Linked DNA regions of Tribolium castaneum. The protein of the gene in region 1 interacts with the protein of each later gene in a pairwise test. Links are inferred from orthologs where the notes say so. Each region holds a gene or a part of one and is shown in the gene's direction. Other genes may lie near its edges. The genes, in order: CenB1A and Rab35.

Evidence for each region.
Region 2: the proteins of CenB1A (region 1) and Rab35 interact in a two-hybrid assay, tested with the Caenorhabditis elegans proteins (2 studies listed by BioGRID). The link is inferred for Tribolium castaneum from reciprocal best matches to the Caenorhabditis elegans genes cnt-1 and rab-35.

Annotation. Positions count from the first base shown.
Region 1 is NC_087395.1:24,776,755-24,781,186, forward strand, and holds the start of CenB1A (arf-GAP with coiled-coil, ANK repeat and PH domain-containing protein 2), read left to right. Parts: upstream 1-1,403; 5' UTR 1,404-1,658; coding exon 1,659-1,711; intron 1,712-1,756; coding exon 1,757-1,873; intron 1,874-1,920; coding exon 1,921-2,094; intron 2,095-3,249; coding exon 3,250-3,478; intron 3,479-3,529; coding exon 3,530-3,625; intron 3,626-3,671; coding exon 3,672-3,877; intron 3,878-3,929; coding exon 3,930-4,046; intron 4,047-4,093; coding exon 4,094-4,294; intron 4,295-4,432. Other genes in the region: coiled-coil domain-containing protein 39, read left to right, coding at 338-790, 835-945, 994-1,317. UniProt on the Caenorhabditis elegans protein: GTPase-activating protein for the ADP ribosylation factor family. Regulates endosome recycling downstream of rab-10 and upstream of arf-6.
Region 2 is NC_087401.1:17,021,347-17,024,256, reverse strand, and holds Rab35 (ras-related protein Rab-35), read left to right. Parts: upstream 1-1,246; 5' UTR 1,247-1,379; coding exon 1,380-1,431; intron 1,432-1,491; coding exon 1,492-2,045; 3' UTR 2,046-2,159; downstream 2,160-2,910. Other genes in the region: sn-1-specific diacylglycerol lipase ABHD11, read right to left, coding at 1-107, 172-303, 346-575, 616-1,002; PHD finger protein 12, read right to left, coding at 2,321-2,683.

The DNA of each region.
Region 1 (4,432 bases):
ACATTGCATACCTAGGAGTTTGATAAATAAATTTTTCTAATAATAATTGAACTCGTTATTTTGACCTTTTCCCGGCGCATCCACCAAAAGTTGCTTAGCATTTTCCGAACTTCGCCACATTGTCAATGTCACTGCTATGTCCATTTGACCTGATATGAGTGTATTGGTGCGGTTTCCCGAAAATTTACATGAGAAAAGCCCTAACTAGAAAATTTTCCGGGTCAAAGCTTGGGTACTGGCGCCCCAGCGCGAAATTTGCGAACCTTGTGCAATGAAAATATTTTTCAGACGCGTTTTCCATCGTCAGAAATCCGGTGATGTTTCGAAAGAAGGCCAGATGAGTCCTGACTCTTTTAAAGAAATCGAGTCTTTAAAGGAGGAAATCGATAGTTTGAAAACTGCACTAAATACACTCAAAATTGACTTGGAAAATAGGGACGGCAAGCTGGGGAAACTAGCAAGGGAAAAGGAAAAACTGTCGCTGAGTCTCGCTAAAATGAAACGCTCGAACGACAACCTCGCGCGCCAGCTCGAAGACGAGCGAGATTTCTACTACAAGGAGAAGGAAACCTACTGCCACGAAATGAACGAGTTCAAAAAGCTCAAAAAGGCGCTAAGTAACTCGACCCTGGGCGAGCCACCCGACCACAAAGAAGTGGAAAAGCTGCGAAAGACGCTCGAGCAAACGCTCCAAACCAACTATAATCTAAGTGTTAAATTCCTACGCATGAAGGAGACCAAAAACCAGCTCGCGATCTTGCTCCAGAAAGCGGAAGACAACCACCGACGGGTACTAGCTCCCAGTTAATTCCTCTTGATTAAACATTGCCACAGGTAGTCAGCGACCTTAAAACCAAAATCGAGACCCTCACCGCCGAACTGAAACAAATCCTCGACATGAAATTCGCAGCCCCGTTGTCCCCAAGCAACAAAAAGTACCTACAAGTCAGTCGAACTAGCCCATTTTTGAGCGAGCTAACCCGTCATTTGCAGCTCGTGAACCAGAACAGCTCGCTGGTTTACGAAAACTTGCACCTGCAGATGCAGGTCGATCATTTGAGCGTGAAACGGCGGCATAAAAGCGAGGGCACGATCGTGAAAATTTACGAAAGGGAGAAGCGCTCCGATATTCCAACTGTGACAATTTTAAACGAGAAGGAAATCGGTCTGAGGTCCGAACGCAAGATCCAGCTCCCGGTCATCAACGACTCCAAACTTGAGGTCTTCCAAGTCTCGGACTTGGACAGTGCGGAGTCGGTGAAAGTCAAGAAGCGGAGCCGCTCAGCACCGAGAGTCATCCAAAGTGTTAATAAATAGTACAAAGAGCGTGGCATTTTGAATTTCCCCTCCACTTTTGTCCCGACTGGCAACCCAAACGCGAAACTCCCTAGACTCCAGACGCGCTTAAACACCGCAAGGGTGTGCTTTCGTTAACGTTTTACCCTAATTATAGTCCGATAAACCAAGCTAAAGATGGTTTGCTCGTGATAACAACGAATTAAGCTTTGAAACGCGTAAAATCGCTGCTGGTTCGCGGGGTCACGTTGGCAGCCCGCGCTTTTGACGTTTGACGTCCACAATAATAAAGAAAGTGGGTTGTCTGAGAGTTGATGACTCAAAATAAGTGTTATGACCGCTTAATTAGTTAGTTTGTGGCCATGGTGGGTAAAATCGACCCGGAAGAGTGCCTGCGTGATTCCCCCAAGTTCAGGTTTGTGGTGTCCCCAAACCGCCAAACACCAATTATCGCTTGCAGGAGTCTTCTGGAGGAGGAGGAGGCCAGTGTTGATCAGCTGGAACAGAAGCTGGAGAAGATCCTGAAAGTATGTGGGACGATGGTCGATTCGGGCAAAACATATGTGGCCCAACAAAGGTTTGAGTTAATTGGTGAATCATGCCGTTTAATTACACACTTCTCAGTTTGTTTGCGAACAGTTTGTGGGAGTTGAGCGCGCATTTTCGTGAGGATTCCGCTGTTCTGGCCTCGCTTAATAAGTTGATTCAGAGCTTGCAAGAAATGAACAAGTTCCATACTATCCTTCTGGACCAAGCCTCAAGAACCATACTTAAGAATCTCACGTCGTTTATCAAAAAGTTAGTAGTGCTGGGTCCGGATTTTGGGTTGGCAACACTGAATTTAATTAGTTTTTGGGGTTTGCAATGCCTTTTTCTGGGCGTTTTTTATCCAGTTTCAAGGATTTAAATTAATGATTTTTTTCTTATCACGTTTATAAACTTTATATGCGTTTTTTCGGTGCATTTTTGTATGTTTTTTTGACAAAAACTTTATTATTTTGGAGAGTTTCGTCACAAGTGAGTCAAAAGATAGATAAATTTGGTCGAAAATGGTACTATTTTTACTTTTTTCAAGTACCTAAGCATATTTTTGAACCTTAAACTCATCTAGACTAAATTCTGTAAAAATTTCGTATATTTCTGCTTTTTTCGAGCGTTTTAGTATTTGTCATAGTCAATTGTGTGGAATTTTTTTTCACAAATATACTGAAAAATTATTAAATGAAGTCGAAAAATACGTGTTACTTCGAGGAATTTGGAAAAAATAAACTGAGTTTTTTTTTTAATTAGATTCATTTTCACGAGCGGAAATATATTACTAATTCTTTTATCTTTGTTATTTTTGTGAACTTTAGCACATTTTTCAATAAAAATCGCAATTATTTTGAGAATTTGCGTCAAAATAATGCCGTAATAGGTCGAAAATGTTTTTTTCAATGTAAAAAACAATTAAACAGTAATTGGTTGCTTTTAAATGTCATGTAATTGTCTTTTTCTATGGTTGAAAATGATATTATTTGTGTCTTTTTGGAGTGTTTTAAAATATTTTACGGATTAAAAAAATACGAAAAATTACCGAATAAGTTTGAAAACATGATACTTTTGTCTTTTCCAAGCTAAAAACGTCGGTTTTTGAGCAAAATGCTTCGCTAGAACTGGAACAAAAATTAATTCAAAAAGACATTTTTTTCAAGATCTCTTACCATTTTTTTTAATTGCGAAATTTTGACAGTCAGTTCCTTTCCGAGATTTTGCTAAAATTTCTATCAAAGAAATGAACAAAAAATCAACAATAATTTGTTTAATTTGTTATTTTTATTTTATTTCTTCACAGAGTTATATTTATTGCTTAATTTAGCCGTTTGAGGTAAAAACAGGCGCAAAACTTGAATAATTGTAAAAACCTAAAATCCGGACTTGATAAGAGCGTCGTAAAGTAACAATCGTTTTCAGTGACATAAAAACCGTTCGCGATTATAAGCAACACTTTGAGAAAATCTCTTCCGAATTTGACAACGTTTTAGTGCGCAATTCGCAAACTCCCAGAAGCAAACAGCAGGAAGTTGAGGAAATGCAGAATGTTTTATTGGCGGTACGGTCCTGTTTCGGGCACCAGGCCCTCGATTACGTCAACAGTATTAGTTTGCTTCAGACGAAAAAACGGCACGAGATTTTGAGCACGGTATTAATTACATGGTCAATTTTTTCTTTAGTAATTAATTTTTTTGATTAGTTGTTATCATATATGCACGCCTGTACGGCTTATTACCACCAAGGTTCCGATCTGTGTGCCGACTTGGAGCCGTTTTTCAAAGAATTGGCCGATGAGGTTTTTTCTAAAAATGTCCCTTCTTGTATTAATTTAGCCGCTTTAGATCGCCGATATGCGCGAGGAAACCACAACCGTTGAAAAAGAATTAGAGAACAGACACGCTTCTGTTAATAATATTGAAATAATTACACCGAAAATCGGGAAAAATTTGCCTAGGATGGAAGGTTATTTGTTTAAAAGGACCTCGAATGCTTTCAAGACTTGGAACCGGCGTTGGTTTTACCTCTATGACAATAAATTAGTTTATAGGTACTAATTTTTATTTATTTTTTTGGCGATTTTTGGGTTTGACAATTTTTAGGAAACGATCTGGTGAAGAGGCTGAGACTGTGATGGAGGACGATTTGCGTCTTTGTACCGTTAAACCGGTCCTAGATGGGGAGAGGCGGTTTTGTTTTGAGGTTTTGTCACCGTCTAAGTAATTGTTTTTTTGTGTTTTTTTTTCCAAATTAATATTTTTCCTAGGAGTCATATGCTCCAAGCCGACTCTAAGGAAATGTACGAAGCTTGGATTGCTGCGCTTCAAAAGGGCATAGGTGCAGCTTTTCAACGCATACATAGTATTGAATGTAGTAATAATGCCAGTGGGCAATCGAATCATTCTAACGACGAACAAAGCGGACATTCCGTCGCCAATTACAATAATAATAAAATTAAGAAAATAAGGTAGGTTGAAAAGTAATGAATTGGACAATTTTTATTTTTTTATTTAAGTTTGAGTTTACAAAACGTTATGAACAACTTGAAAACAAAAAATAAAAATCAACTCAGATTTAAGTAAATGTACAACATTTACAAAAAAAA
Region 2 (2,910 bases), on another chromosome or scaffold:
GGAGGAACTCCGACGGTTTTTCACTGTGTAACCAATGACCTGCTCCTTCTATGTACTGAAACTGGGCCTTGGGGAATAACTTCAGTATCTGTTCGTGGTCACTTTTCCTGCCAAAACAATCAAGTTGGCAACATTGACGCGTTGCCAACCGAATTTCAAAACCATACTCACTGTATATAATCAGACGCTCCGCCCCCTACAAATAGGACAGGCCCCTCAAATTTGTATTTATTAATGGGGGGAAAAGTGGCAATTTCTTCAAAACTGGCCATTAAAGTCGGTATATTTATTCTCCACATGTAACTAAAACACATTTTTTGGCTGTGAATTTATTGCTTGCCTCACCTGCCGTCCAATTTCTGCACCAAATTCGTCAACAGAAAATTCCTCAACCCCTTATCACCAATAAACCTAGCCAATTGTAAATCAGTCTGCGACCTCGCCACTGACATTGACACATTTTTGGGCATGTTTAAATTTTGCATAACGTTAAAAAGGCCCGGCATTGTCTTCAAATTGGGGCTCGTGGTGACTGGGGAAATGTCCGCCACGATTAATTTATCTACAAGTTCAGGCTACAAGCCTTTAAGCACCCGAAACAAACCCACAACATACGTATTTCAAAGCCAAATACATCACAGCACGGCCGCCCATCGAGTGCCCCAAAAAGGCCGCCTTTTCGAACTTGAGCTGCGTCAAAAGCTCGCGCAAATCGAGCGCTAGGTGCTCGTAGGTGTGCTGTTGCGTATGGGGGCTGTCGCCGTGGTTGCGCGCATCGACTGCGATGACCTTGCGGTTGGTCTTATTGTGGTACACTTTGCACAAACTGTTCCAATTCGACTTGGAGCCGAACAGGCCATGGTTGACTATCAAGGGGGCCGGGTCGTGGTCACTGGGCGAATTCGTGCTCTCGTAAGAGGCGTACGCCAGTTTCACCGGCTCGATGGTCGATAACTGGCGCCGGAAGGCTTTCAAGGCGCGGAAAGGCCGCAAAAGCCGCATTTTCGGGCAGGTTTTAGGTTAGGCGAATTTTGACATTTTTGAATTTGGCGACAGCGCCGCCAACCCAAAATTTAATCACCAAATTGCTGGGTTTATTAGGGTTTTGTTAATTATTAGGGCGGATTTTCGTACATAATCTTGGATAAGGGCTCAGTGCCGCCGTTTGGCTGGCACTGTGATCAATTAATAGTGATAATAAAGTGACGGTTTGGTGTTTTTTTGTGGTGCGATTGGTGCGCGTTTGGGGGAAAGCGAACGTCACCTGTCACAACTCATCCCATTAGAATTCGGTGTTTTTAATGATTTCCGTGTCAAATAAAGCGAAATTAATGCTATCGAAGCCTAGTTGAGGCGGTGTTGTAGCAGAATCGGCGAAAATGGCCCGCGATTACGACCATTTATTCAAGCTGTTGATAATCGGCGATAGTGGTAAGTGTGGGCGGGGTTGTGGCTGTTTTCCTCTTAATTAGGGAAAACTGGCCGTTTTAGGCGTGGGCAAGAGTTCGTTGTTGTTGCGCTTCGCCGATAACACGTTTTCGGGCAGTTACATAACGACGATCGGTGTGGATTTCAAGATCAAGACTGTGAGTCTGGACGGGCAGAAGGTGAAGCTCCAGATCTGGGATACGGCGGGACAGGAGCGCTTTCGCACGATCACGAGCACCTACTACAGGGGCACGCATGGCGTGATCGTGGTGTACGACGTTACGAACGGGGAGTCGTTCGCTAACGTCAAGAGATGGCTGCATGAAATCGAGCAAAATTGTGATGTAGTTAATAGAGTTTTAGTGGGTAATAAGAACGATACGCCGGACAGGAAGGTGGTGTTGACTGAAGATGCGCAACGTTTCGCCGACACGATGAACATTCAACTGTTTGAAACCTCAGCCAAAGACAATGTGAATGTGGAGGAGATGTTCATGGCGATTACGAGACTGGTGCTCCGGTCGAAGCAGGAGATGAAAGAGCGGCAGAACATCACGCAGAACGAGACGGTGAACCTGAGGAAGAGCAACAAACAGGGGAAGAAAAAGTGCTGTTAGTTGGCAGAGGGTGTTCAAGGCATGTTGTTCGTTCCTAAGGTGCTTCCTTAAAGCCACACTCCGGCTGAATACCCTGTATATAATGTATAATATAAACAAGAATTGTATTTATTTTATAGCCGTTTTACTTCCAGTCCTTACTTGTTGCGCTCTCTTTTAAAAAACATCCACAATTCTGCATTTATTTCATATTTTTGTACAGATCGTATGTTTGTATCATGTATGTTGTATTCAAATCATCAAGTAAAAATGTATCTTTGTTGTGAGTGAGTTTTTTATGCCGCACAATCGACGATCGAAAATACGAACGAGACACATCCGAACCTTAAAAGACTTCCGTGGTTTAAAATTGCCGATCCTTCCCATCCTATACGTGATGATGATTCACCAACATTTGTACAACAACATTCCATCGTATCCATGTTATCTATTGCTGTCATTTTCGCTTCAAACGAGTTTTTTCGTTGGCGGACTACTTTTCGTCTTCTATCAATGATTTCACGCACTTGGACTTCCAACGGAACGATTTTTCCTTCACACTGTTTGGGGCGTTCGGTATTGGTGTCGTTTGAAAACAGCACGTTGTTCACAAATGTACCGTGGGACGAGTAGTTGATCAGCTCGAAGTTTTTCGTGAACTGAAAAATTACAACACGACAAAATATTTCGCACCTTATCTCCAAAACTACAAGTCATAGAACAAAAATAAAAACAGATTTGGAATCCTCAGACAATTTTACGTCCAAAAACCATACTATTAACATACATCTATGGTTATTGTAATTTTGACGATTTTTTTATTGTTGGTAGGCAAGTAAGAATTTTCACCAAGTTGTTTTATTCGGATATTATTTGCGCAATTTTG